2 linked regions of the Yarrowia lipolytica genome follow. The protein of the gene in region 2 interacts with the protein of the main gene of each other region in a pairwise test. Links are inferred from orthologs where the notes say so. Each region holds a gene or a part of one and is shown on either strand. Other genes may lie near its edges. The genes, in order: YALI1_B26926g and YALI1_B04248g.

Evidence for each region.
Region 1: the proteins of YALI1_B04248g (region 2) and YALI1_B26926g interact in a two-hybrid assay, tested with the Saccharomyces cerevisiae proteins (2 studies listed by BioGRID). The link is inferred for Yarrowia lipolytica from reciprocal best matches to the Saccharomyces cerevisiae genes SLT2 and SMI1.

What each region holds. Positions count from the first base shown.
Region 1 is NC_090771.1:2,683,414-2,699,337, reverse strand, and holds YALI1_B26926g (uncharacterized protein), read right to left. Parts: upstream 6,710-15,924; coding exon 4,568-6,709; downstream 1-4,567. Other genes in the region: YALI1_B26984g (uncharacterized protein), read left to right, coding at 935-1,801; YALI1_B26963g (uncharacterized protein), read right to left, coding at 1,955-2,974; YALI1_B26962g (uncharacterized protein), read left to right, coding at 3,144-4,385; YALI1_B26888g (uncharacterized protein), read left to right, coding at 10,153-10,319, 10,511-10,604; YALI1_B26874g (uncharacterized protein), read right to left, coding at 11,351-11,950; YALI1_B26845g (uncharacterized protein), read right to left, coding at 13,626-14,804. UniProt on the Saccharomyces cerevisiae protein: Protein involved in the regulation of cell wall assembly and 1,3-beta-glucan synthesis, possibly through the transcriptional regulation of cell wall glucan and chitin synthesis.
Region 2 is NC_090771.1:411,904-427,218, reverse strand, and holds YALI1_B04248g (uncharacterized protein), read right to left. Parts: upstream 2,382-15,315; coding exon 864-2,381; downstream 1-863. Other genes in the region: YALI1_B04228g (uncharacterized protein), read right to left, coding at 3,053-3,967, 4,195-4,419; YALI1_B04212g (uncharacterized protein), read right to left, coding at 4,635-5,933; YALI1_B04200g (uncharacterized protein), read left to right, coding at 6,663-6,861, 7,127-11,889; YALI1_B04138g (uncharacterized protein), read right to left, coding at 12,533-13,321; YALI1_B04123g (uncharacterized protein), read left to right, coding at 14,850-15,315. UniProt on the Saccharomyces cerevisiae protein: Serine/threonine protein kinase involved in a signal transduction pathway that plays a role in yeast cell morphogenesis and cell growth.

The sequences.
Region 1 (15,924 bases), about 2.3 Mb from region 2:
AGAGCTAGGTTGCCTTGGTGGGGATAGTGTGGAACTACAAGTAGACAGATGTCACGATGATCAAGGTGGCCATCAGGACCAAGCTACGTAAACAGACACTTGCAAGAAAGTGTATCTGACACCGAGTAGAGACACAATTCAGCTAAACCATCCTCGTCTCACCTCATCTTACATCCCCTGTATTCTTGTATCACGTTAAAATATGTTCCGCTAGCAAGGTTCATTTTTCCGCTTAGCGAGCGCAAACCTAATTGGCAGTAACCACTGGTGAGTGCCGTATAGAGCGACATCAAATTGCTGTATTTAGTCCACGAGGGGTGTTGAAATTGGTTTTTTTTTTATTCCACGGTCGGTAAATTGTTGGGCCTCAATTTCACTACTCTAGATCCATTCTGATGAATTTGACAGCTGACAGTTTTCTTATATCCACGCGCCAGCTTTTAGCAGTAGCCTGTGGATATATCGTTGTCTGCGTTGTACCCTCAAGCTTCATATTGCAGCTTTGGGGAGCAGCACTGAAGTGCACTTGTCTCATTTCTGATTCAAATTCCCCCACCGCCTCTTTTGAGCATATTTGAGCGTTTGAGCTCCACCTTCCTCTCCGTTGAGGTGTTTCGTGGTGTTGAGATTACACCTTCATGCCCCACATTTATGATTTCGACGGCAAGGCTGTGTTAATAAAAGGATCAACGAGATGCCCTCAGTAACCACACAAAAACAGATGAGCAGCTTGATTTAGAATGTCGCACGACTGATGGCATGTGGATAGATCTCCATTAATCGGTTTGCATCCGCATTTGTTCCACTACAAATAGACCGACTCGGATCCGACCTAAAAGCTCCGGATCAACTTTGAACCTAGACGAGTGTGGGGTGCATATAAGCCAGGCGACCTTCCTCAGACGTGCACCCAGCAATACCAACAGTACACAAAATGCTTTCGCCAAACTCGTGGGATACACACGTTCATCTATTTGACCCAATTAATTATCCGTTTGCCGGAAGACGAACATACACTACCGACCAGGCACTTCTACCTGGTCTGGAGGCCCATTCCAGATATCTGTGTGGAGGCATGATTGGTAACAATGTACTGGTCCAGCCCTCGCCTTATGGAACAGACAATTCGCTTATTATTGACACGCTCAGAGGTCACTCCGATCGGCAAAACGGATACAAATTGAGAGGAGTGGTGGTAATTGATCCTGATAACACACCCGTGGAGCTGCTGCAAGAGTGGTGGGAACTGGGTATCAGAGGTGTCAGAGTCAATGTCGTGTCTACCGGTCAATTGGACGTTGAATATGTCTCTAAGACCCTAGTCAAGACAGCCGCTCTTGTCGGCCCTCTCGGCTACTTCATCCAGGCCTATATTCCACCAAACTACTGGGACAGTCTGTTTGATGTCATTGGGAACCTACCAGTAACGGTAATTGCAGACCATTTGGGTGGGATGAAGAGCCCCGGAGACACTGGATTCGAGTCCCTCATCAAGCTGACTGCTAAAAATGTGCTCATTCGAGTCTCTGGATTCTACAGATTGTCTGAACAGGGGCCTGGATACAGCGACTTAGAAGAAGTGGTTCAGTTCTTCGCCTCGGAGAGCCCCAACAAGCTAATTTGGGCTTCTGATTGGCCCCACACTGGCGGAGGAAAACAGAGACTGCTGCTCAATCCTGGAGATGTGGAGCCTTTCAGAGTTATTGATAATCATGCCATTCTGCAAAATCTCAGATCCTGGGTAGATGAGCGAACCTGGACTAATATGATGGAAACTCTTCCTGATAGGATTTACAATTGATGAGATGGAAACATAAATAGCAGAAACGAATTAGGCACACACAGATTAAAGGCCAGAGACAATAGTCTCCAAAATGGCTACTGTATATTTCATGGTACACTATATATCCTCTTACATAGCTACATACAGGTACGAGTATGTACTGTCTTTTAGCTAACTCCTGTCAGGACCACACTTTATAGCTAGTTCAAGCAAGATCTCAGACCCAAAAAGAACCACAATGAGAAGAATACCTACCAGTGGATAAAAAGCCACACAGGCTATACAGAGGGCTAACTTAAGCGAAAGGACAAACGAGTTCATCCGAACAAGAGTCTCGTAGACTGCCGGGCGATGGTTCTGTAACGCGTTCTTGACCATCTTCTCAATATTTGACTGCATTTGCGGACTTTCGCTTTCCTTCTTCTTGTCGTCCTTCTTATCCTTGGCATACTTCTTTTCCTCATTCTTATCATTTCCAGCATCGTCCTTCAGCTCCATTATCTCCGCTTTCATTCCCTGGGGGACCTGTGCGTACTTCACTGGTGGTACAGGGAATCCCTCTGTCCGTATGTATCGCGGTTCAATCACCTGAGACATTGGTCGCAGTAACGACTGGTTGGGGTATCCCGATATGGCGTCTGGCGTCTGGCTGATCTGTCGTGGCTGAAGATACGCAGGATGCATATGTTGCCTCAGCCCTGGTGGCATCTGGTATGGTATCTGGTATGGTATCTGGTGTGCTTGATGTATGTGAGGTTGCTGTTGTCTGACATGTTCATGCCAACGAGCAGAGTCCTGAAGCTGTCTCCGGGGAACACTGTACTTATCTCCCTCTCTGTCCCTGTCTCTGTCCCGTTCTCGCGTCCTCTCATAATGCTGTCTTCGTTCATACTCTTCTCTCTGATGGTCTCTGTATTTTCTGCCACGTGGAGGAGAAGTCAAAGCGTCTGTAGTCGTGGGCGGTTCGTCGGTCAAAATCTCGTCCATGGGTGTGGTGATGCGGTCTATGAGAGGCCTCTTCTCATTGCTGGTCCTAGAAAACCACTTGCGGAAGCCCATGCGCCGCTTGGTCTGGGGTTCGCAGAAACGAACGGTGTGTGAGGTATCGTGAAGCAGTGGTTTGTCTGTGTCGGTATCACTGTCGAGCTCGGAGAAGAGGCAATCTGAGCTGTTCTGTGTGGCGTGGAGCATGGGCACACAAGTGTACGCACGTTGCTTGTGTTGGGACTAAACTACTTGTAGTGTACCAAGTAACCTTAATACAGCTAAACAAAAATAATATCTGTTTTCATGCATCTCGGGCTGCATACGGCTGGCATCAAGTTTCAAGTGGCATACACTGTATGACATAACTACAACCATGTCATTTGCAGAAATGAGTATCGACGAAGCGCCCGACGACGAGCCTCTGGTGACCGGATTCAGTGGCTTCACGTTATCTGACCAGGATGTCCGGAACCGTCAGTTACAATACCACCGACCCTTGCAGCAACAACAACCGTTTGACGATCTGACCTCGGAGTTCTCCAATCTGCGAACTAGCGAGACCCAAGACCCCGACGAAATGGACATTGACGACCCCACGGATCTTCTTGACCTTCAATCTGTCAACCTATCGCGCATGAACCCCGAGTTCCTTCCGCCTGTGTCTACACCCATCAAGGCAGGTAAGAGAAGAACTTCCTCGGTGTCAGTTGCTGCTGCGGCACCCAACTCGCCATGGAAGATCTCATCTGTGTTCAATCCCACTGAACTCGGTGCCCAGTTTGCTGTCAAGGAGATTGAGAAGAATGAAGACGTGGATATGAGCATGGTCCTCTACTCCCCTGTCAATGAAGGTAAACCCCTTGATCAGGCAGACGATATCGATCCCGATCTTCGACCAGACGCTAAACACGGCGACTTCTCTCCTCAATCTGCCCAGGCAGCAGTACACACTCCAGCACCAACTCTTCACACTTCCGAGGCTCAAAGCCCGGGGCAGGATCAGTCTGCAGAATACCACCTTCATCTGCCCAACCCAACCCTTGGATGGATGATTCAAAACCCCAACCTGCCGTACATCATTACCTCGTATCTACAGCTCGCGTTCAACGGCATCATGCTGGCCGTCATGGCCTACGTGGTCTACTTATTTATTTCCTCGGTCCGACAGGACGTTGGTTTCAAGTTCTCAGCTCATTCGGGCGAGATCCTTATGGCAAAAAGCAAGTGTGCAAAGCTGTACCTGCTTAACGAATGTGCAGCCAACTCCCGCCGTCCAGCTCTGGAGACTCTCTGTGACCAATGGGAACTGTGCATGAACAGAGACGAACATGCCGTTAACCGAGCCCGTCTCGGAGCCGAAACACTGGCCGAAATCATCACGGGGTTCATTGACAGATTCTCATACAAGGCCTTGGGGCTCATTTCACTGCTTTTCCTGGGGTCCATGTTTGTGTCCAATTTTGCATTTGGCTTCTTCAGAGCAAAAGCATACTATAATGGAGAAGTGGAGAAACAGAATGGCCTCTGGGATAAAGCAAGATACACTTGGGGAGGGAGGAAAGAAGATGAACCGAAACGACTCGTCTTTGGTCAACAGAATGTTCTCCAAAACTAGCTTCTCTGATACCATTGCTACAAGTAGCTATAGTAACAGTATGTACATTACAGTGGGCCGAGCCACCTTATTGTTCTCACAGGTAATTCAACACGAAACACACCCAGTCTTTCTGTAACAAACACTTTTTTTATATTTTCTGAATATCTTACAGCATCATCAAAAAGTTATGCATACATACATTATTTCTTGCCCTTCTTCTTATTCTTCTTCTTGGACTTGGACTTTGAGGCGGTTGTGCTCTTGGTCTCCTCACCCTCCTTGCTGTCACCCTCCTCCTCGTCATCTTCATCATCGTCATCGGCCTCCTCATCGGCCTCCTCGGCATTACCGTTTTCCTCGTCAATCTTGAGCTCCTCGAGATCCCTCTCGACCTTGCTCTCCTCAGACTCAGCCTTAGACTCCTTAGACTCCTCAGCGGCAGCCTTCTCGGCCTCTACCTTCTTGGAAGCGTCGGCCTCAGCAGCTCGCTTAGCCTCAGCCTTGGCAGCCTCAGCGGCAGCGGTGGCCTTCTGCTCCTCTTCAGCCTTGGCGGCAGCCTTAGCTACCTCCTCTTTCTTGAGCTCCTCCTCCTTGGCTTTGGCGGCAGCCTTGGCCTCCTTCTCCTCCTTCTCTCGAGCCTCAGCAGCCTTCTTCTCAGCCTTGGCCTTCTCCTCAGCGGCCTTCTCGGCGGCCTTCTTGAGCTCTGCTTCCTTATCAGCAGCTTCCTTGGCAGCCTTCTTGGTCTTCTCGGTGGCCTCCACCTTGGCCTTTTCGGCGGCTTCGTTGACATCCTCCTCCTTGCCCTTGCCCTTGCCCTTGATCTCCTCAGACTCCTCAAGAGGCTCCACAATTGTGTGAGCAGTCTTGCTCTCGTCAACAATAGTCTTTCGGAGAGCAGAGCCCATAGTAGCCTTGCCCTTGTCCTTAATGGTGGCAGTGTCCTCGTTGAGGTCGACGATGTCCAAATCCTGGGCCGGCTTAGAGGTCAGGGGCTTGCCCAGGCCAGGGGCTGGCATGCTCTGTGTATGCTGTGGTGAGGGAGAGTGGAGGCCTCCCTGTGCGTGATGTTGCTGCTGCTGCTGCTGCTGCTGAGCGGCGGCAGCGGCCTGTCGTCGCTCATGTTCCCGTCGCTGCATCTGGTGTCGGAACTGTCGCTCCACTCGGGTCTTGAGTACAGTGAAGTAGCTAACAAATGTGCCTCGGTCGGTCTTGAACCACAGCTCCTCAGTGTCGTGGTCAACTTCCCAGTTGCCCCGGTCAAAGTCATCGGCGACCATGGCCAGGAAGTGAGCCCACGACTGGGCCACCACGTATTTTCGGTCAAACTCCCGACCGAACAGAATCACCTGACCCCATTTCCCCTTCTTGCCAGGTGCCAGATCGACAGCAATGTTGTTTCCGGCTCGATCGTTGGCCAGAGGGATCCAGCCGGGGTGTGCATAAACCAGCTGGACGGCTCCCTCGGGGACAGAGTCCTGCGACGCGAGCCATGAGCTGATGTTCTTTTGTCGGGCCACAGAGGCCACGGGGGAACCGGGGGTGGAAGAGTTGGGAGAGCCGGCGTTGGGATTGATGAAGATGCCGCCCTGCTTAGTGGGGGTCTGGCCGGTGGCCCGAGCAATCTCCCGGTTGATTCGGATGGCGGCCTTTTTCCACGAGTACCACTCCTCGGCAATGGTCTCGAGATCGAGCAGGGTGATGCCGAAGATGATGCCTGAGGGTCGGCCAAACTTCTCCTGGCCGTCATGAATCAGACACGAGTCTCGAACATCCAGGGGAAGGGAACAGTCGAGATCGGCCTCCAGTTCGTTGAGATCGGAGGCGGTGGCAGGGTAGCAGAGCTGATCGTTGAGCTCGGGGTAGTGTTCGTCAGCCCACTTGTCGATTCGCTCCCATGACATGGCCACCGAAGGAGCCGGCGGCTGACCGTCAACGTACTCCTGCAATTCGTGTGAGTCTCGGGTGACTCCTGCGGGGTCATTGTTTCCAATTGCGGACGACCGTGATCCAGGAGCGTAGGGAGCCTTATTGACCGACGTGGATGAGGCCGAGAAGTTGGTGGTCGAGTTGTTACGGGAGCTGTAGGGGTTGGCTCTGTCAGCAGCGGCTCCTCCGGCGAGATTGGACGACGACGCCGAAGGGGAGTTTGTGTACCCTCCAGTGTACGAGGAGGAAGCCTGGTACATTTCACTCTGGTTGTCGTCATTGTTGTAGAGCGGTCTGTTCTGGGAGTTTGCGCCGGCGCTTTGTGACGCCTTTGACGATCGCTGTTGCGACGCGTATCTGTCTGGGGTTGTGACCGAGTGGATGAAATCCGACACGGAGTTGAAGAACGAGTTCATGATGTGTTTAGCAGGGGTTCGTCCAAGTCGCGTCTATCTGTGTGTGCTAGGTCAGTCGAAATAAAGGTGTGGTGCTGGAGCGGTGATGTGAAGCGGCGTGTGAGTCCCAGCTTGAGGGTCAAGTACAATCTGTTGCACAGAAGAGAGAAACGGGAGATGGCGATCTGAACTTTAAGGGGTTTCTGTGACCTGCGACATTTGGGTATCTATAGAAATGGGAAAGATGAAGGAGGTATTTACTACTTGTACGTATTCCGGTGGGGGGGTAGAGAAGTTGAAGAAGATCCAATATACCTTTATATGGCCCTCTGCCGTTGTCAATTCACCCCTACCTCGACGCCTACGACTACAACACTGCTCCATCCACTAGACCCCATTGCCTCCACGTCGTGCAATTACCCGGCCGAGTTTATGGTTCCACTTGAGACTGCCGTTTTTGGGCCATTTTGGGACATGCACAAAGTTCACGCTAACATCAAGGTTCCAACACTAAGCATCCATTGAAGGTGAACTTATTTGACAGGACAGAGAGACACACATACACCCAAGGGGCAAGAGTACTTTTAATAATCGGCGTGCGTGTCATGAGATTACAGTAGCAAAGAAAAGAAGCAGATTGGAGCTGCGGAATTTGCGTGAGCGCCCCACGGATCACACTGTCACGTGATTGTCTCATCCACACAGCAACCATGTATTCAGATAGCCATCTCCGAATTAAGCTGTGGAACAGCAAAGAAGGCGAGACAGCCAGAACGGGACACGGAACAACGACCCGACGTCGTCATGTGTCCTGGGGGAGCGGTAATATACCAGACTGTCTTTGTCTATACCAGCCATTGGCTATCATCATAGGCACTATGACGTATACGTACTCGTACTCTTACTGATACTCGTGCTTGGAGCGCTACTCTTTTAGTAACTCCTGCCTTCAGCCTTACTATGCCGTGCTGACCCGATCCACTCTGTTCCGTCACGAACGAGACACAAAAAAGACACGTGGTGCGCGCATAAAGAAACGGATCTATTTTAGCCGTTTTAGTGACATGTGAGGGCGCTGCACTCTAACGACCTCCTCGTGACCGCAACATGAGCTATATCTACCTTGTCCTGAAGTCATAAGGTCTGGGGATCCCCGTCGGCGATTACGGATTGTCGGCCGAGGCTTTTTTTCCGAAAACGCCGAAAAATCCAACTCCGAAAATATATATGTGAACGGCTATAACGCAGAGCAGTTATTTGACGGAGTTGGACCTCGAGTGGTTCTGATATATGAGACATATACTTGGGTGTCGCGTACCCCCATCCAATCAATATTCGTACATACAAGTATTTCAACTGTCGTCCCATTGCTGCCATATTGGCGTGTCCTTAAGCTCTGCATATTTGGCTGCGCCATGGAAACTGCACGGAACAATTGACGGAATGTTGGCACGGAAAGTTACAACCAAGATACCAGTGATATGAACTAATAACAGCCATTTATTGAACTGAGTTTGGAAGGAGAAAAGGCGGGGAGGAAGGAGTCATTTTGCATCTTAGTGACAGGCCCTATTGGTATATATTGTCAAGGAGCTACTTGTAGTACTCCAAGTACATAGAAGTGACTGCTTTTCGAAGCATACTTCGGTTGTATTTCGCGTACTATTAGACTCAAGGTCAAACTCCACCAACAGGTTAACGACCCCCAAAGTCAAGAAGCTAAGAATATGCCTCATTATGGGGTAATCGAGTAAAAAGTTGTGGAAGCCTTGATATCTGAATGCTCGTCTGATTCAGCTCGATCCTGTGGATATCATTGTTTGCGTCCATAGTACATATTGGCCTATACCATGGTAGATGTCCTAAACGTACCTCGGGCCCCTTACTGATCATGCTCAAACTTGAGGTTCGTGTCTTTTTTTTTTTTATTTAGCTGCCGCTGAGCCAGGCTGATTCCTCCACTCATACACAGAGTTTTCCGTGGGATTTTGCTGTTGTTCCTAGCCCTACTTTTGCTTAGAAGTGAGCTCCAAATGTTGCCCAAGTATTCAAAACGTTGGGATGTTAGTCATCAGATATGGCTTCTATAGGGCTCTGTGGGTCTTATTATGAGCCACCAAAACCCCAGGTCTACTGAAACTGGTGCAATGAAAACACATGATCAGTCAGATTCCCATTTGAAGCTATGTAGATTCCTCTATTGTATCCGATCAGTCTCAATATTCACATCTCAACTAAACTCTCAACTAATTTACGTATCCAAACTAATGTCAACTATCGGGACAGCTAATGCTCATGATCCACCTCAAGAACCAGCCCTGACGTCATCAACCCACCTGATGACAGAAGTCTTTGCTATCATCTCCACCATATATGACAATATTCAACATTAAATGTACGGTTCACATGCTGCGCACCTACCCCTGGATGCCGTCGTCTCTGACTGTACGATCCACTGGTCACTGCAAGTAGCACTGTACATCTCCACACTGTAGACGATCTCACGATCGCGCTGTAACAATAATAATACGTCGTTGCTACATGTGATAGATACTAGTAGCTGATAATACGTGATCTGGATGAATTGAATTGTTAGGCATAGGTATTACTGTACGTTGCTCGCACCTTTGCCTTCCACGGCTCATTGCATATCTTGCTCTGATCGGAAAATGCTTATTGCTCCCGTTTCGCACATTCTATACAAGTAAATCGAGATCGTACACTTTCCATTTGCCCTCAACTTAAGCCACTTTCGACTCACCAAGAATTGCTACTACTCCTCGTTGATCTGGCATAGACAATGCCATGTTCCACACTGTATCGTCTTCGAATGATAATCTGAAACTTCATACAGTCTACAATTAGTCGATGAGAAAGGGCTGGTAATAGTGGCAGAAAGACCACGACAATTGCGAATTATACAGCCAAAAATCATACCAGCCAAAAATACAGTCCCATTGGTCACATTGATGATGTTTTCTTCATGAAAACCCCACGCCAATGCCGCCTTGCTATCTCGCACCGTTTGAAATCACATTTTGCAGTGCCTAAATTGAGGAGCTTAATTGAAAGCCAAAATATTTTTAACGCATACTACAGTGTACGCGTTTATGGTTGCCTAGATACAGTGTCGATGGGGCGGAAGAATGGAATAGTTACTATATCTGGACGAATAGTAATGGGATTAAAATAATAATGCAATGGATGCTTTTAGATAGTCCTATATATCTTGATACCACCCTTTATAGACTTCTATTTACATCTCACATCCCATATTGCACCATCTCCCGGTCACTCTATATACATCTCTCATGCATATTTAAGGCAATGGCTAATCCCAATTAGGACGGATCCAAACAACTCTAAATCCCTGCTCACACATACATGGGCCCTTAAACTGATATATAGAGAGGGTCCTGGGTCCTAAACACTACATTCAACATCTCCCTTCCACACACAGAAAAATGAACCAGGCTCCCCTCAACCCTTCTTCCGGTAACTCCGGCAACATGATGCAGCGACAGCTCCACAAGAAGTTGTTTCAGCAGAAGAGCTTTGCCAGTCCAACCGACAACCTCATGAGCCCATGCTCCGCCAAGCTGAGAGCCCACAAGAACAAATACATCTCTATGTGAGTATTTCTAAGTCAGCTGACAATCATGTGGCCTATCACACGTGATTGGAACCTCACAACCTACCTGTTGTGCCTTTCCTCTCCATGGCTTTCACTGATCTACCTGGTATCAAGATCTGTCGAACCACAAAACACTTCGTCAGGTTGCACCCCGTGATCTAATATCTCCCCAGTTCCTACTAACACAGCAACAACAAGGCTAAGCCTGGATTGTCCTTCAACGCTCGACTTCAGAAGTCCATGTCTGAGGAGTCAGATTGTGACGAGAAGGAGAACCAGTGAACCCGTTACTGGTCTTGACCAATCACAAGGCTGGAACTTGATTGGAATGTGATATCGTATTTATTCAATAGCTAAAGAGCTCGTACATAGCAATGACTGATAATTAGTGTACTGTTGATGTAATGAAGACAGTAGGTCCGAGCACGTGGGAGGGTGTATCGAAGCATAGCAAGTGATAGCAGTAGCCTGTGGTACTGTACTATAACTGGTGGTAGTTGTTGATGGTCATGTGATATAACACAGCCCAAGAAGTCTATTAATTAATGTGTTTTACAATACTCGTATTGGTAATTCAGTTCTACTCACATACTTTGTAGTTGTACCAGTACATACGCTTTGTCTACCAACATTCTTGATAATTCAGTATAGAAACACTGGATTCTAGTGTCGATAATTTTTTTGATTTTAACGGACTCAATGAGGTGTTAACATGTTCTCAGGGTATTAACAAGCCTCCATAAATATCTACCATAGTTTGTGTACATACGAGGCTTCCTATTGTGACTCCGTTGTCAGTTCAATCTATGTATAATATGTAGTGTACAGCATACTCGAATAAAAAACACAAATTACAATAAATTATAACACCATCTCCTACTCCTACTCTACTCCAACTGGTCCTGTACCTCAAAATCATCCTCCAGGCTCATGTCCCTGCCCACGTCATATTCCCCCCTGCGTGGATACAACATCTTCATTCGCAGTAAACGTGTCTTGTAGATATCGATCATATCCTGACTGTACATCTAGGCTCCCAGTTTTCCCTCTGAATATCCAACAAACAATTCTCGTCCAAATAATACCAGAGAGCCTTGGTTCAACTCAAAGTTTTCTTTCATCAACCAGACATTCCAGGTAGCCAGATCCACAATTAATAAAGATTCTTGTCTCTTTCCCCCAAAATACACGGTAATATAGAGAAACAGTACGTATGGTTGAGCCCCCCGTGGGATACTAGAGAAGAGAGAGTCCATGTACCTTTCGAACAGCATGATCCGGTCTTTACAATAGTACATCTTGCTCACTCTTGTAGTCCCACTTCCATCGTCCTCAGGAATATCTTTCATGTCGATGAAAATGGGAAATAACCCCATGTACCCTTCTGGAGAACGGTCTACCATCCATTGGAGTCCATTATAAACCGAGTTAACTCCTACGACCGACGATAGAAACGAATTAGTTTTGGGAACCTCGTCAGTATCGACATGTGATTCATCAAACTTGACATCTCGTGTCTCTGCAATATGAAGCACTCGTCGGTTGTCCAGATCGACAACAAGCACCATTGGCTGTGGAACCCGCAAAAGATCATCATCCTCGACCAAAAACGTATAACCAGAGGTCATATTTCTTTGACCTCTTCGGTTAGTGATTCCCTTTCCTGAACGCTTCCATCCGCGTCCTTGCCGAAAGTCTGGGTATTCTCGAGGCAAAAAATCCACACGTCCTGTGCGCTGTACACCACCACCATGTCTTCGTTGACGTCACAGCTTGTTTTATTCGTGACCATGTCTATCGGAACAACAACTCTCACACCATCACAGTCGTATACTCCTATTTCGTCAGTCTCTTCAACTGTCCTGAGAAAGTCCAGTAGCGATGAAGGAGGCTGAGATCTATGAGCCATCATGGTATGCAAGTCCATGTAGTAATTGTCATCCAGCTCCAACATGGTGTTGTACTGTGGCTCTCGCGTGACCATCAGAGGCTTGTAATCTTTTGGAAGAGTGGTCTCTACCCCGTCAATATTCAAGGAAATCGCTTCTGTCAGCTCTGTAGGGTATTTAATGTCCTCGAGACACTCAATTGACGTCCACTTACCTGACCCCCAAACGTCCCACAAACACCCGGACACAATCCCTCCATGTTTTCAGTTCCGTTCCGTCTTCTCCAGGCTTCAACACCAAGGGTTCCTCTCTTTCACTTTCTGCTTCAAGAGCCGTGCATCCAGCTGGTTGAATGCCGCGTACCAGAAGGTACTCACTTCCCTCAAATCCACACACGTTTCGAGCTCGGCATGGGCAAATATATTGTACACAGTTTCCGGAGGGAGTTCCATTTCGACGGTTGATGAAAGTAGCGGAGCGAATTGTTACCTCTTGAATAGGTGAACTAGTCAAAAATGGATGGCAGGGCTATTTTAGGGTCCACAATAGTTACGAGAAAGCACACATTATTAGTGTAACGGCGGGTCATCAAGGTTGTGGCTGGCAGGAGGTACCAGGAGGTATTACTCTCCTTTACCCATATATTATCAATTACTGTATGTATCTAATAAACGATATCTAACAAATACTGTACTCTTGCGTGTATGCTACATACTGTAGGCTGGTGACATTTTTGGATAGCTATATAGCTAGAGTTGGGGGGATTATTATAGCATCTTTTGGTTAACGTGTGGTACACCAGTTTTTACGCTCCAATGAATCCATATTAGTCACATTGCTTTCCAACTGATTGCGAGCACTATTGAAAAGTACAATATGTACATGTTGTACAGACTGAGCTTGTAGAGGGATTGAGGATGATGAGAATCTTTTCAGATATTATTTTCAAGAAAAAACACCTTGTTTTATCCATAGTCTTTGTAGTCTAGCTACGTAACACCTCCGGCTAATTGCCGCGGCCAAAATCTTCAAACAGCCTTCTCTCATCCTTCAGTCAACCCAGATCATGACTGCTCGCACCTGTCGTTGGCCTCCTCAGATTCATCGCATATAATACTTGACACCTTTTATTGTCCTCTGAAAAGCTATTTTCATGCCTGCTTTCATTCAATGCGATCACGAGGTTGCGCACACAATCCGCAGCATACTTGACCAAGGCTCCAAATTCGATTAATCCAGTTTCAATTTTTTAGCGAACGGGGTGATGAGTGGCAGCTTTATTGCATCTCTGCCTTTACATTTTGATCAATATTTCTTGGCCTTTTCATCTGAGTGACGCGTGATAATACTTACTAGTTGAATCCATTTGGCTTAATACTACAGGATATCCAATAAAGGTGTTAGAGTATAGAGACTAGTTGGAGAGAGGGCCATTTTGAGCCTGGATGTTAGAGGCAGAGGTGTAGACGGCCTGGGCAAGACCAATTTGGGAGTCCTGGAGATCGTAGACCACATAGGCATTTCTCAGGAAGGTGTCACCAAAGAGGGTGTTTCCCTGAGAGTTGGCGTTGGACTGGATTCCAAAGCCACAGGTAGAACCTCCAGTGGAAAGAACAATCTGCTCGGAAGTGGCAGTGATGATCACTCCGTCGAAGTTAAACTCGACAGACACGTCTGAGTCGCAGGGAATGTCAATGAGACCGCTGATAGGGTCGGGGGAAGAAGAGAGACCCAGCTTGGTGGCCAGGGCCTGGTAAGCAGCATCGGGGATGTAAGTAAGGGAAGTTCCAGAGTCGAGAACAGCCTGACCTGAGCCTCCGACCTGAGCACCATCGTAGGTGATGCTGTTGTAGGAGATCTGGAGAGCATCCTGTTGGGTAAGTGGTAGAACTGTGAGACTTCCACTGTATTTGGCTGTGTCGATACCACCAATGAGGAATGTTCCGTCAGAAGAGTCGGCGTTGTTCAAGTACAGAGAGTAGACCTGTCGATCAATGTATCCGGCGTTCTGCAGGGCAACGGGGAAGTTGGGGTACTCCGATCCGTACCGTCCGACAGACTCCTGACCCTGGACTGAGATACCCAGTATACCGGTGTTTCCGGCAGCGTTGCTGGCGCAGGCAAACTGGAAGTCTGTTAGTGAAACACTTCCGAGAGTAAGAGTGTCGGTTCCCCAGTTTCCAGAGGCGTTTCCAGACACGTACTGGATGAAGTAGTCATCGCTGAGGAAGTTGTAGGTGGAGGACGCGGACCCATCAAACTGACCGGTGACATCACACTGGTTGTTGTTGCAGTCAGTGGTGTCAGTAATGTTGTAGACCCACAGATCGGAGGATCCAGTATCCAGTAGCAGGTTGAAGTCCTGGGCAGGAGTACCCAGATTAAGGGCAATTGAATAGTATGCTCCTTTGTTGAGGATGTCGACGGGTATGGGGGCCTGACGGGTCAGCAGATGGTGGTGCTGCTGCACAAAGTCAGAGTCATTGTGGTGCCTGGTGATGGGGAAGGTCAGGTACTTCGGGTTGCTTGGAGCAGCAGCGACAAGAGCGAGGAAAGAAGCGAGAAGGGTAGTGGAGAAGTGCATGGTGGACATTCGGACGTTCTAGGACAGATTTCAAACCCATTATATACACAATGGTGCATGGTATCAACGCGTTTGAGTGAGTGAAATAACCCAGCATTATTGATCTGGTTTAGTCCAATTGAGTTCAGATTCAGTGCCGCTGCCAAGAGCTAGCCGACTGCGCCAAGTGCTACACGAAACCTTCATCCTAGGAGAGTTCAATATAAGAAACAGTGGGAGTGGCCAATCACTCTGCACAGTTGTCTTCTGATGGCATACACAATGGTCAAAATGTCCCTATGGTAAGCTTCAGCTACAACCCATTCAGTTGCCTCTGTATTTTCTGCTCTAACCACGGGCTTCCCCCATTCTTCATGGTGTACCCCCACGCGTTGTCTCAAAAGCATATCCACCCTGATCGACCTGAGCCGTTCAAACCGATACACCTTCCCGTGTCGACTGCATGCAAGGTAATTTTAGTTGTACCACCTCAAACAGAGACTACAAGTGTTAACCCAACACAATCTGAGAGTCTACAGTGTGGCGCGACATCGAGCAGACGGCGCGAAGATGTAACGCTAGCAAGGTGGGCAATCACGCTGTTGGACTAATTGTTTTCAGTCGAACTACCCGACATTCGTGCTTTACGAGGCCCAGTATATCGCATATACATTCATTGCTAGGGTATGTATGAAGGCACACGGTCCGTTGTACGTCATCCGTAGGTACCTCCAGATCAATAAGTCTCACTCGTACTCGTACCACATCTCCTACTTGTATATCGTCGACAGAGCATTGGGTCTCCTGTAGACTGCGATACGATAAGAATTGACTCCAATCGGATCCACATCCCACTCAAACTCAACAGAACGCACAATATAGGCTGCGAATGACCGTTACAATGGCAACTAGCTAATTATGCGGCCCGTAACTTCTTGAATAGAGCTATTGAACTCTTTCGCAAACAGTTTCGTTGTTTTTACCTCATCGAACACCCTCCGAACATGTAGTCGTTTGTGCCAACTCAACACCGCAGGACCTACCAAAAACCGGCTGACTAAAGAAAGTAAACAGGTAGGATTTGGAACAATGGTACTTGTTGGTGGTAGTACCACTGTAATGGATCATTAGAACAATAAAAAAACTAAGG
Region 2 (15,315 bases):
CCAAACAGGCAGTATCTGATAACAAGTACAAGTACATACGTAGCGCCTTTTCATCGCGTGCTTCATGCAGGTAGACTGACAGATGTGGCAACAGCGGGGGTGGATGTGCGCGAGAGATGAAGATGATGGAATCATTAACGAATGGATGGACGTGAATACTGAGAAACAGAAGATTAATGACGGAATCAAATCGCTCGATCTGCTTCTAACAGTTCAAACATTTTCTTTGATCAAATCTCATGGCTTCAGCTCCATCTCAGATCGTACTGTGTATAATTAACGTACTTTGTATGAGATTCAGCATGGTGGTGAAAAAAGACAGAAAAAACAAAAAAGACGGCTTGATAGACATGGAGTATTCGCACTTACTGTAGAACAGGTCCACACGGCCTTGAAGTACAAGTACAATATATACCGAGAAAACAGTCACTGAAAGAGGAAGCAGAAGATTGAACTGACACCAGAGTATGTAGGTCACTATTGTGCTGACCGGGTACCACCACTATTATTAATATACATGATGTACTGTACATACAGTACTTGTAAAGGGACGGCCACAACCAGCCCCCTCTTGGAGCCTCTCCTTGGTCAACACAGTATGTCTTCTTAACCTCTGCGATATCCGCTCTCCAGCAGTGCAATAGATCAGTGACCCCTTTCGAACACCGCATTTCGTACTCTCTCATCAGCACTCGTAGCTGTTTAATATTAACACATAAAGACCGTCTGTGCGAGAAACAAGGCATCCCATCTTCCAATCTACCTCCCCCATGTCGTCTCATCATGCCATTATATTACACTCTATAAGTATCATATCCTGCCTGCCCCTACCATTAAAATATCCAAACGTCTTTTCACCAAAATCAACTTCTCCATCCATCCAAGCCGTACTCCAGCTCGAGCTCCAGGTCGCCATCTCCCTGGCGTCCGGACTCCTGGGGCTTTGGTGGCGGGTCCTGGTACTTGAAGTCCTCCTCGGGGATACCCAGAGAGTCCTTTCGCTGAATGACGGGTGGCTGGCCCATGTCCGAGGTCTGTGAGCCGACTCCAAAGCCGGCGTACTCGTAAAAGTGGGGGTTAGCAGACTGGTCCGAGTCCGAGAAGCCCGACAGGGTGGATGGAGAGTCCTGCTGTTGAGGGTGATGTTGCTGCTGCTGGTGTTGCTGTCTCTCAGCTTCCTGCTGGTGTTGCTTCTGACGTTCAGCCTCCTTCTGTTGTCTCTCCACCTCCTGCTTCTCCTCCTCTCTCCGCTGCTCCTCGATCTGCTCGTCTCTGATTCGTGTCTGCTCATCGACAGGCTTTCGAACCATGGCCCGGAAGTCCACAACCTCGTCCAGAATCATCTGCTTCATTGCCTCCATGTCATTGACCTCCTCGAACGAGAAGTCGAACGGAGTGGGACACACAGGCTCATCTCGGGGATCGTGCCAGATCTTCAGGTAGGGGTGCTCAAGAGCCTCCTCAACCGTCACTCGCTCCGCAGGATCGAAGGCAAGCATTTTCTCCAGCAGATCCAGAGCCTCGGGGTTGGCGGTGGGGAATAGCGTGGAAAAGGGAATCTTGGGCATGAAGGGAAGACCCCGAACGTACTCCTGGGCTCTGGGACTGCCGATTCGCTTGAGAGTCTCCTCCGAGGGCGTTCCGAGGTAGTGCAGAATTTGATTGAGCTGGTCGACGTAGTTCTTGCCCTTGAACAGCGGCTTTCCTCCCAGAAGCTCGGCCAGAATGCAGCCCACGGACCAGATGTCAATGGCCTTTGTGTAAGACTGGAAAGAGAGCATGATCTCCGGGGCTCTGTACCACCGGGTGGCGACGTATTCTGTCAGGAAACCGGCATTCTTTTCGTCGTCGGAAGAGAATCCACGCGCAAGTCCGAAATCGCAAATCTTGAGCTCACAGTCGGCGTTAACCAGCAAATTGCCGGGTTTAAGATCCCGATGGAGAACATCGGCGGAATGAATGTACTTGACACCGGCGAGAATCTGGTAAACAAACGACTGGTAATGGGCGTCAGTCAGAGGCTGGCCGGACCGGATGATCTGATGCATATCGCACTCCATGAGCTCTTCGTACAGATACAGCTCGTTGAAATTGTTGGTGTCCACAATGTCCATATCGTACAGACAGGTGATGTTCTTGTGCCCCCGGAAGTGGTTCAGTAGCTTGAGCTCCCGCAACGCCCGCTTACACAGAATGTTTTTCGAGAAAATGTTGGTCACCTTCTTGATAGCAACTCCAGGCCCATCAGGCGTCCCAGTGTACTTGGCTGCACACACAATGCCGTACGCGCCATGGCCCAGCTCTTTGGTCACCTGGAACCGCTTGTCTATGGTGAATTCCTGGTTGAACACCTTGTACGTGTGTCGGTCCGCTCGTATCATGGTGGTGTCGTAACGTGTAGCGAATGAGTGGGTGCGGATGTGTCTAGTCTGTTGAGAGAGAGGTCCAAAAGGTCAAAGTTCGTGTGTGCAAAAAAAGGTCTCGTGCAAAAGTCGCGTGTCAAGGCCGTCAATAATCCCGAAGTAGTCCGTAAAAATGCTCGCGGTCGATTGATCGTTCCTGGAAGTAACACTGGTCTGGTCGACTCGTCTATTTTCAGGTGAGGTGGATGATAAAGTCAGACTTGGATAGAGTGAATTATCACACCAAGCCAAACCAAACTGAATTTCGAACTGTACGTCATTGCGGAGAATAAACTAGAAAGTAGAAAAAGTTGATGCTAGCTAATCGGCCATTTTCTTTTTCTCGCCCCTCTGGAAATCGATACAGCCTATCATCTACAGCTACTCGTCTATGGTGAATCCTGTCGCGTGCCCACACCGTTAGCTACCCACCCCGCCCTCTCTTCGTCGGCCTGCTTGCTCATGTCACCTCCATTTATTATACCTCCCAATAGCACAATTTCGCTCACCCTCCCACCTCCCACTCACCGTTCCTCCTCGCCCCCCTCGGTAATACACATAGACTTCCACTGCAACTTGCTGCGTCGTCATCAACCTTAAATACCTGACTAATAATACGGAAGTAAGTCAGATATTTTTACCACTAGATGTCACCATAGTGGCTCTCCGGCCAAATTGAACAGAATCTTGTTGGGCGTAAACGGCTTGAACATCATGCCCCGACGACTCAGCCGGTTCATGTTGGCCCAGTCTCGTATTCGTGTCATGGCCTTGTGGGGCTCGTCTCCCATGCCAAGGTAATATGCCACTAACCCTGCGGCAAGTGGAGCCGACATGGACGAGCCAGACTGAGCCACTGTGCCCCGATTGTTCTGGTTCGACAGCGAAATCACCTCTACGCCGGGCGCAAAAATGTCCACACACTGGCCCCAGTTGGAGAAGCTGGCAATCGTGTCCGTCCTGTCGTCAAACGCCCCGACGGTCAGAACCCCGTTAGCACTAGCAGGCGAGTCCAGACACGCAGGGGTGTTGGTGTTGCCTGCAGCCACCACCACAGGAATGCCAGAGTCGATCGCAGCCTCGACCGCAGCGTTGAACACCGAGTTCTTAGGTGCTCCCAAACTCATGTTGATAACCGCGGGACGGCCGTTCCGATGGATCTCAGCCGCGGCCCACTCCAAACCGGCGAGTACAGATGAGAGGGCTCCCATACCGTCCTCTCCAGTGACCTTGACATCAATGATGTTGGCCTTTTTCGCTATACCGTAGGTCTTAGACGCAGCTAGGCCGGCAACATGGGTGCCATGGCCGTTTTGATCACCCATGCCCTCGCCGGTGAAGTCTCGACCTGGTTTGCCTCGGTTCTCAAATTCAATGTGCTGATGACGCACTCCAGTATCTAGAATGTAGATGTCGACGCCGCTTCCGTCGGAAGGGTCGTGGACAAAGTCCTGGGGACCGAAGGCGCTGATGGGCTCGAGGTTGGATGTTCGGGCAAGGTGGCGAGGAGCGTTGGCCTGAACGTCGTAAATCTTGACATCGATGTCGAAGGTCCAATCTTTGATCTGTGTTAGTGACTGACAGGTTATTGATAGAGGGGACAACTTGGTTATACTCGTACGTAGCAGTGATAGTTTGTATGTTACAAACTGCTGCATCAGCCTTAGAGTATACACGTTGATAGACATCTCGATATCACATCTGCTCAATCTCTAGTAATCTCAAGTATCACATCACATAGTCTGTGTTACACAACACCACATCCGAAGGGGTATCAAAAGGTATCACTCACCATCAAGTTCTTGGCAAGGGCGTAGACCAGAGAACTGGGGATGTCCCCGGCAAGAGCCTGGAAGTTGCCGAAACTGTGGTACTTGTCGAAATGAGCCAGAAAGTGCGGATTCAGGGTGAAGAAGTCGGAGAGATGCGTCTCGTTTTTGAGCTGCAAGATCATGTTGCGGGCCTGTGCTAGCTGAAGTAGCAGCAGTACTGGAAGAAGAAATAACATGCGCGTCATAAGTTGGGTGTACTTGTACAAACAGCTCAAACCAAAGAAGGGACTGTCACTTATATATACAGTAAAGATAAGGTGGATTTTTAGACTTCCATACGAGTCACCTGTCTGTTAAGGTGGGGCACTGTATGACATACACTATAGTACAAGTACAGTATAATTACAATACTGTAACTACTGTAGTGACGACATGGACACTATTGATGCATTTCATCTTCCTATTTAGCCCAAGGAGCTTTCGTGGGGGCCATGCCTGGTGCATCTCCTCCAGGAACACTTGAGCCCGGAGCTCTGGTGGGAGGCAATGCAGTTGCACCAGGAGCTCCAGTAGTGCCAGAAGCACCCCCACTAGCCCTGTCCTCTCTCTCCTCCTTCTCTCTCGCTGCACGCTGACCGTCTCGACGAGCTAGACGCTCCACAGTCTCCATTGGCATACCTCTTGGGCCCATAAGTGGCAAACGAGCATGAGGAGTAGTCTGCGGTTCCTTCTTGGACTTGAATCCAAGGGGAAGCTTGGGCTTGACGGGCTCTTCGTCCTCCACCTTGGAGTAGGGCAGGTCGTTACCTTCAGTATCCTTCCAGGGATATAGCTCTGAACCAAAGTAAAAGTGCTGGACAACAGGGAACTTTCCCAGAACTTCTGCAATGTACATTTTGATCATTCCTGAGTGGATCTTAGCCCAGGTGGCAATTCCAGAAATATCGTAGAGGATGGGGGAGTGCTCATAGAAGGGGCCAGACTTGATATCGTAAATGAAGGCAATAGCTGCAAAGTACAGGTTGGTAGTCTTTTGCTGCTGGACGATTCGAGGATTCATGACACTCGAAGGGGGACACTCTTTATCGTACTTTGTGGGAACCAGAAGGGTAGATGCAGTTACTGATCGTGACACCTTCTGAGCCGATCCAAGAATGTAAGGGAGATGGGAGTGGTCATCCAAACCCCAAACTCCGTGAGATCCAGCAGGTTCCAGAGAGTATGTCATGATAAGTTTTCTGACAAGCACAAAGTATGTCTCAAAGATGAAGAGCACGTCTGGAGCAGGCAGATCTGTTTCCAGGAGACCCAGTTTCTGAAGGCCCCCCACAAATGCCATGAATGAGAGCTCATGGCCTGTTCCAAAATCCAGACGCTGTTTCGAGCCCATTCCCCCGTGGAGGTAGTATTGTAGCTCGATAATCGAGTCCTTGTTGATGCTAGGGAACGCCTCTGTCAGTAGAGCTGTAGTTTGGGCCTCCATCTTGTCATGCCAGTCTCTAACAGCGACGTTTCCAAATCGCCGAGGGCCCTCCAGCGGTGGCGTTTCGTCAATAAGAGCACTGAGTTTGCGACACAAAGTGACGAGAGCCTTGGAACTGGCCGCTAGCTCGTCTTCATTGGGGGGCAGAAGATGCTCTTGAACTGTAGACGAGTACTTGTCCAGTAACGAGATGATGGTGGCGTAAGGCTGAGATCGCTTGAAGGAGTCGACATCGGCGGCCGAAGAAATGCGTTTCTGAGGTTCACTGAAAGTCATTCTTGTTGAACACGAAGCTGTATGAAGAGATGAGTTGTATGTCCAAGTGTGATGATAAGCCTGTATGGTTATGCACAGTGAAACTTTGGCAGTGTCGGTGCGGAAGATGGTGGGATGATAGTGGTAGGTGGATGGAAAGTGAGCAGACCGAAATAGACTGCCTGAGAGTAGACAATTGCAATAATGTAGCTCGTTTCCCTGATTTTTTCTTCAATTGATGAAGAAGGGGGCCTCCAATGACCAGTTGGGGGCCTGCTGAATCTAGGTTCGGTCTACCTCCACAACTTTTGGTCTCTCGAATGTGAATTTATCAAACAAATATGTAGTCAATTTTGTTTCTGGTACAATCAAATGGATGTGAGAATAACTTGCTGAAAAATTGTCACTATTGGCCCACATCAACCGAGAGAGGGCTTCTCCTCCATTGCCTAACTAATGTGAACTACAACTTCAATAATACAGTTAACAGCTACTTAAGTAAAACACAGCAAGCTTCTTTTGGGAGGATTTCTGTATGAATCGAAGCACATTTTTTTACACATTCCCATTCAATGTCTCATCAAGAAGTCACCAAAGCTATCAAATGTTACATTATCCACTCCTCTCCGTCTTTTATCACCGTAATCACAATCTGTTCAGAATTGGTTAAGCTTTGTGCATGCATGTCATTCCAAACTTTTATCAACATCCAAAACATCTTCAGTGGCATCACCAAAAAAAACATCAACAATGCTTACGTGGTCTCTGGAGCTGTTTGATCGGCTGCGGGACACGATGCAGACACTGTCCAAGGAGCTCCACGACGACGATGTGGACGCCAACAACCTTCGGAAGATGCTGAACGAGGTCTCGTACCTGAAGGATGACTTTAAGATGTCTCTGGACAATCCGAAACAGAGTGCTTCTGATCGGGAGACTATCCAGAAGGGTGAGTATTGCAGGAACGACGACTGTGGTTCCAGATGGCGGAAAAATTCGGCGCGTGATTGGCGGGATTGGGTGGTGTAACAAGGGAGGTGATGGAAGCTCGTCACCAATCAGGACATGGAACCGGGTCCATGACACGTTGCTGTGCGGCGTCTCCTTGATCAGATCCCTCGGACTGCTTTATCTGTACCAGCTGCTATCTTATTCGCGCTGTGATGGAGAACATGACTCCCGGCAAAGGTTGCCATGACACCCTACTAACTCAGGAAAATACACATTTGGAGACGATGAACGTCAACTCTCTCCTGAGTTTATCGAGGGAACGCTTCTCATCGCAGATGAGCTTCAACTAAACGAAGCAGCTGCTGCAGAGCTCGTCGAGTACGCCATCTCTTCTCGACAAGGCTCCGACATGTCTCTCAGTGAAGCTGCAATCTACGCCTACTACACACGTCGACAACGTATACTCGACACAGTTCGTTTCCTATATTTTTGGATTCATGAGGAGAAGGATAAGCCCGAATTGATTAGCGAGCTCAAGAAGATCGCAGCTGTTATTGGACCCCACAAGGAAGTGTTCGACAAGTGCGTCGACAACATGTCCAAGGATGTAAATGCTCTGAAGGATCTGGACGAAAAGGAGAAGCAGGGAGTCTTTCTGGGCCGAAACCAGGACCCTAAGTTCGAGGCGACACTCAAACTGCGGCGGGACTTCATTCTGCAGGAACATGAGGATCTGGGCCAAACCATCACTGTGTTGATTCTGTCCGAGAAGCTCGATTTCGACTCCATTAAGAAGCTGATTACCGCTGCTTCTTCGCTTCGAGCATATAACACCCTGCTTTTGCATCACGTGCCTGCTTTGCTGTCCGTCTTCGGTCTGATTGAAGCCGACAATATCCAGCGACTCTCTGTTGGCGACACTCTCAAGCTCCGAAGCGACCTGTTCAGCAAGTCAATTGAGTGGGGCATTCCTACATTCCAGCGGTTCATCCAGCTTGCATTTCTTGCAGGATTAGCTGCCCTGGCACGTTCAGACGAAGGTCTCAGTTCTCAAGTGAACTTCACACGCGACATCCTCGATGTCTGTCGAGAGGCTATCGACGAGGGTGCTCTGGAGTTTGGATACGCATTGGCAACTGACACTGCTGCATTCAACGTCCGAAACGTGTTCTACGATATGCGGCCTGCTCTACAGCAGCGAGTGCCCGAGTTCAAGTTTCTGCGACGACTGTCGGCTGATTTCGAGGTACTCTGGACCCGTCAGATGCAGTGGTTCATTAGCACGTTCATTTCACATCTTCCCGACTTGCTCAAGCAGATGAAACAGTCCGAAGAAGACACTTTCCTGGCCAACGAGGCCGTATCTGATCCCGACCTTCAGCTTCAAGACGATGTGGGACGTGATCTGGAACGGTTCTACATGATGGTGTCAAATCTTTACGATGGCCACCCTGATGCTGCTTTGGATTACTGGGTTGATGGCGAGAGTGATCTGTACGGTTTTGTGGATTGGGCTTCTCATTTCGCCGACTCTCCTCTCATGGCTGCTACTGCCACAAACATGCTGGCTTCTCTATCTACTGGTCCCGAATGTGCATCCAACGCCCACCGATTTTTGGCTGCTGAGTTGCCCAAAACCAGAAACCCTAGACTCACTTGGCATCAGGTTCTGGACGCTTTCGACTTCTACGTCGATGCTCTTTCCCCCCAGGTTCCTGAGCGTGGAACCACCACAATGCCCAATGCGCTGGTTCAAGTCGCTGCCCCTGTGCTAGACAGACAGGCCACGATGATGATTGAGGCATACATGCACTTGGTTTCGCAGGTGCTGGCATACTCCCCTGAGGCAAGAGAATACCTTTTCGAGGCCGGCTTGGTAGATCGAGTGTTTGGATTGCTGACAGTTGAGACTGGAGTAACTGGAATTGTCCTGGAAGCTCTGTCCGGTCTAGCAGTTGATGCCCCTCTGGAGGTCAAGCGACTCCTCTGGACTCGTCTGGACGCCTGGGCTTTTCAGTCTGTTTACTACACAGCCGATGGACGAATCCTCAACAACAACTTGTCTCCCCGTGAGCGACTTCAGGGTCTCATCACCGATCTTCAGAGTGCTGTTGGATTCTCCAAGCTCGTTGAACGGCTCATGTACCCTGTCGTCGATATTGGTGGAGATCCTATTGTGCCTGCTCTTCCTTTCCCATTCGAGCTGGGTGCCAACTACAGATTCCCTGGCGTCTGGGTGTATGTTAACTACATGCTGGAGGATATTCTCTACTACTCTTCCGTCGCTCAACTAGAAGAGAGTCAAAAAATGATCCTGCAAATCACTTGTTTCAACTTCGCAAAGAGTTGTCTCAGACTCTTCAACCCCGACACAATCAGACTTGCCGCAGCGGCTGGTGTGTCTCTTGACAAGATTATGGACAACGACCTGACATTCAAGCAATACCTCATTGCTCATCCTTGTCCTCTGGCCATGGCTTTGATTTTCAACGAAAAGCTGTACACCATTATTCTGGGTCTGTGTGAGACGTCAGCTGATATGTCTTCTAACCTTGCTCGGTACGAGATTGAGCGAACTGCATGTGCTCTGGCTATTGTCGATCTGGTGTTCAGCATGGAGGAAAACTTCATCGACAACATGCTGCCTGTTCTGCAGGAGATGAGCAAGAAGAACGACCAGATCATCAGCAACATGAGTGTACATTCGTTCGAGGAGGCCATTCTCTTCCGGATGACTGTCATTCCCCATCTAGCCCATCACATGGCGTCTGCCAATGCTGGCATTGCTGCTACCTCTTTCAGCATTCTGTCTCGAGTTTCTCAATCGTCCCTGTTCAACGACAACGATGGACGAATCGCCACGAGCCTGGAGCCCCAGAACCGTCTGCTGCGAGCATTCAAGACATACTCTGACGCCCAGAAGATCAAGTCTGGCATTGTGGAACAACTCGAGCGACCCTTCGACGACTACGAGCACGAGCATCACAAGGCTACCGGTCTGGAGCTCAAGCTGTCGATTCTGCAATTCATTTCTTCTAACCTGGGCCGTGATTCCGCTGATGCTACCGTTGCTCATTTCCTGCTCGGATTTGCAATCAACGGAGACGGCTCTCTGGCTGCCGACAACGGCACTTATGGTGTTGCCAATCGAAACTCCGTCTTTGGGGTCATTCTCTCTCAGCTCACTCAGTCTGTTGCCAATATTGACCCTTGCAACGTCTTCCTTGACTCGGCTGAATTCGCTGCTGAATGCGCAAAGGTCGTGATGCATTTGTGTCGGAACCAAAACTCGGCTGCCATCACGTTAAGAATTTTGCGAGACTTTGGCTTCTTCGCCCAGATTCTCGCTGAGGAGCCTGTCACCGACAGACAGACTCTCTGGAACGGACAGGTGCTCGACATGAAGAAACATTTTATCATGAGTCCTGCTCCTGCAGCTTTCTCTTCTTTCTTCCACCACAGAACTGCTCTCTTCGAGTACTTTAGTATGGAGGTCCACGCTTCTGCTGTCAAGGGTTCGTTGTCTGTCGTAAAGCGGTACCTGGACTCCCTGGTGACTCTTGACAAGAAGCCCCAGTGGCACTACGCTGCTTCTCAGATCTCCACAACTGCTCTTTCGTTCCTGGATGTTCTTGAGTTCCAATGGGACACTCGGATCAGCACCCAGCCTGATTTCGGACTCTTCTCGTCCATCAACCGAGAGTATGTGGACAAGACTTTCGGCAAAGACAAGCTGATTGACATCTACGGTCTGCTGACGAAGCTTTACCAGCTTCGAGCTTATGAGCTGACCAAGACTGGTTTCGTTACTGAGGACGAGATCCCCATGTTGGATGCCCAAATGGACGAGCTTCTCGAATTTGAGATGGGCGTGCGAGCTAGTGGGCGAATGCGACAGCGACAGCTAGATTTCCTCAACTCGTGGTGCCAGTTGGTTCTCATTTTGCTCAACGACTGTGAGATGAACGCTCCCGATCGGTCTGTTTTCATCCTGGAGGCTCTACAGAAGATTGTGCCCAAGCTCGGATACTACGCTTCTTCTGACTCGGACTTTGCTGAGGTTTTAGCATCTCTCCTCTGCTCTCTGTTTGAAATGTACAGACGAGACATTGAGGCGATGAACTCCTCTGCTGGTCGAGACAGATCCCACGCTCTGTTCAGAGCCTGCATTGGAGCCATCAGAACGCCGGTTTCCACCCCCACACTCCGTTCCGACCTGTACATCATCTGCCACAAGTACCTTGAGTCGGCGGCCTCAAACCCTTCTCTGTTGAAACAAAACTACCAGGTGGTGCGTACTTCGGGAGACAAGTTGCTTGAGACTGTTTGTTCCGACGCCATTTCCGGAACCACACACCAGAGAACATTGGCTCTCATGTTCCTAGAGTCTTTGGCCTCCCTGTGTACCAGAACTGAATCTCCCTTCGTCCTGGACTGTCTGGTTCGATACAACCTGCTATTGTTGCTGGTTCGAAGCCTGAAGACTACCGACCAGCTGATTCATTCCACTTCTGAGCAGTTGCCTCTCGACAAGATCATGTCTGAGGTTACAGCTTTCCGAGCAGTCATGTTTTTCCTGCTTGAGATTGCGCAGACTCGAACTGGAGCCTTCCAGGTCGTGCAATGTGGCATTTTTCAGACCCTTCATGAGTGTCTTTTCCTCAACACTGACCCTGACGTTGGCATCCAGCTGGCTACTAAGGAGGCCAAGAAGGACAAGACGGTGGACCCCGTAGAGCTGTACTACCAGATCCTGACTCCTGTTCTGCGTCTGCTTACAGCCATTGTTCTTTCCATGGGATCGGAAAACCATGTGACTATTGAGCGGGTTGGCACCATTCTGCGAGACAGACGCCATCTAGTGGTGGCTCTGTTCAAAAAGGACGTACTCAACAAGTCTCAGTACAAGGAGGATGACTTGGAAAAGAAGAGCGGCAAGAAGAAGCCGCTGATTGGCACCGACAGTCTTGTTGATGCTGCCAAGCTGTTAACGGTGTTGGTTACTCTCACTGATGCTTTCAAATAGACACACACATAATTATACATTTATTATTGATTAACCCAAGCTGAGCTGACTCTCTTCCTCCACTAACCCTACGTAAACTCATCAACAGCAAAGAAAGCTCCGAGAACTCCGTATATTAATATTGTGAGTCGTAAATTATATTTCTTCAATTGAATTGAGCGCCTGGATCTCTCTTTCAAAACACTTCTCCATCAACTGCTCCCCTCTGGAACACTGAATTTGCACTCCTGGCTGACTTTTGTCTAACAAAATCTCAAGTAACTGGAAATTCGACAATTCGTGTAGAGACGACTTCAGTGCAGACTCTTCTGATAACGAGATTTGTGCCTGGGAGGTTTCTTCATGGTATAATATCAGAATAACCGATAGATGACCTGAATAGTGTCGACGCAACTGTCATAGCAACAAGACTAGCGATTGCAGAGACTAAGAAAACACCGGTTCCAGGGGTCCTCATCAGGATGAAACGAATGGGACACAATAAGAACCAGCAAGACGAAAATCACACAATCACAATAGCTACAATTCCCTTTAGACTCAATATATATATTGTTTATTACACTAAATTGCGACCTGGGACAGACTCGTGGCTAGCCAGTTGACCTGCCCCTGGGTAACGTAAGCTACTGGATTAGCTCGAAGTTTACTTCTTACCCTGGTTGGCAACCGCAGCGGCACCGGCAGCGGCGGCCTCGGGGTCGAGGTACTCGGCGGCCTTGGTAGGCTTGAGGTTGTCATCAAGGTCGTAGACCAGGGGGATACCGGTGGGGATGTTAAGGGCGGCGATATCGTCATCGGAGATACCGTCGAGGTGCTTGACGAGAGCTCGGAGGGAGTTTCCGTGGGCAGCAATGAGGACGGTCTTGCCGGCCTTAAGGTCGGGGACAATGTCGGAGTTGTAGTAAGGAAGGAGTCGGTCAATCACGAGCTTCAGAGACTCGGTCTTGGGCAGAATATCCTTGGGGATGTCCTGGTATCGCTCGTCGTTGTACTGAGACCACTTGTCGTCGTCAGCGATAGGGGGAGGAGGGACGTCAAAAGATCGTCGCCAGAGCTGGAACTGCTCGGGGCCGTACTCGGCGAGAGTGGCGGCCTTGTCCTTGCCCTGCAGAGCGCCGTAGTGTCGCTCGTTGAGTCGCCACGATCGCTTGGTGGGGATCCACAGTCGGTCGGCCTCATCCAGAGCAATGTTGGCGGTCTGGATGGCTCGAGAGAGCTCGGAGGTGTAGAGAATCTGGGGCTTGAGACCGGACTCCTTGAGCAGAGTACCGGCTCGCTTGGCCTCGGTGTGGCCGAGCTCGGAGAGCTTGACGTCGACCCATCCGGTGAACAGGTTCTTCTCGTTCCAGTCGGACTGGCCGTGTCGCAGCAGAATCAGTTTAGGCATTTTTGTATGTGTTTTGGTGATGTCACGAAAAGGACGACGCAGCATAGATATATATGGACGTGGAAACTAGGAGAAGGAACCTTATTGCTGATCCGTAAAATTATCGTGGAAAGAGGTGGGGAGGGAAGATATGGGTATGGGGAGATGCAGAAGCGACAAAACACGCAAATCGGAGCCGTCAACCTCACAAATATCGCCAATTCCTCCCCCATAGCTCCCCAAACAGCCCGTTGAGCGCTTTTGCCCTACCCTCTCCAGTCCAAAAAAACCCTATTGTCTGGTGACGTCTCCTACTCATGCACCTCGTGGTTGCTGTATAACTGGGGACTCCACGATCCGAGGTCAATTAGGCCACGTGACACCCAATTGTGTCGCTCGCACCTCAATTGAAGACTAAGCTCGTTCCACCACCTCAATTGAACCCATATGAGCACCAATCGCCCTCACCGCAACATAAAACGCTCCTCATAGACTAGTGCTATCCAAACGCTATTATGACGTGACGCTGAATAGGGTTGCGCTTAAACGAGGACAGTTGTCTTATTTTGGGGCAAGGTTAGGGCATCGAGGCAGTCCGTAACTGTCAGTAATTGCATTGTATCTTCCCCTTTGTCACGGACTTGCCCCTGACACTGGTTGGTTGTGTCACATTTGTCCTCAAACAGTGGTTCACGCCTTGATTTGATCTGAACCCAAAACCTGAGTGAGCACATGGAGAAGGTTAAAAACAAACCACTCTCAACGGATGCAACCCAAACCCTAGTGAACTGTGACTGCGAATGGGTCGTAATCTGTGGTTGGTACGAGACGTTAATAATCTGTGTCACGTGAGAATTAATGAGGTATCGCGATATATATAATATATTATATATTTTATATTTTTTTGGAGTTTTTTGACAAGAGCTTGAGAACGAGTTTTGGTGTATTCTTTAATTTACTGTAAAGTGAAGTATGGAAGATACTGTCGCTACTGTACATACTGTAAAGGTTGTCAAGGGTGCCTGCTGTGCCAGAGACCATAACAGTCCACTCCTCCAATTCGTTTGATAGCGTACGGTGAGGTGGGGAGTGTACAAGTACTGGTTAAGAATGTACAAGTACTCGATGAGGATTTTCAACTACAGTACTCGTACTCGTACAGCACTGGAATTGACATGTCTTCATTCCAACAACGCCTTATCTGACAACAAGAGCTGTGGTGGGGCTGTTCAAAGAGCTGAAGTTATATCCCAAGTACATCAAGTACAGTACTTACCGTAATTGCAAGTATGTTTTTTAGGCTGTCTACGGTTTTCGATAGTGAGTAGCGACAGTAGCTACATACTGGTGACTACAATACAGTCAGAAAAAGCACAGGGTCATCAAGTAATGAGAGACGCAGGTATCAACTGCAGAATATATAACCCATTCCCGGTAAAATATTGCTACAATTTCTTTCCATTGCCTACATACTCCCTGCTTACACTGTTGTGTGTTCACCATCTCACCTCCCCAGCAACACACGAAAGTTTGATTTTTTGTGCATACATATCGAAAAACATCTTTAGCATCACCACACAAAAACACATCCAACATGAGCAGCGGATTCTCGTTTGGAGCCAACACTGGTAAAACTGGCGGAGGATTCAACCTGGGCAACAATGCCTCTTCTGGTACCACCGGATCGGGATCCACCGGCTTCTCGTTTGGAGCTGGTAACAACAACAACAAAACCACAAACAACACCAACACATCCGGAGGCACTGGCGGTCTTTTTGGAGGAGGTGCCGCAGCTGGAGGAGCTGCCAAGCCCTCGTTATTCAGTGCCTCTGGCGCTTCTGGAGCTGGAGCTGGAGCTGGAGCTGGAGCTGGAGCGTCATCTGCTCCCAAGTTTAGTTTCGGTGCCACTCCTTCTGCTTCTACTCCTGCTGCATCGTCGACTGCCGCCCCTGCGGCCTCTGGAGGTCTGTTTGGAGGAGGAGCCGCTTCTTCCAAGCCCTCGTTTGGAGGATTCGGTGCTGCTAAGACCGACGATAAGCCTGCTGCTCCTGCCGCATCTA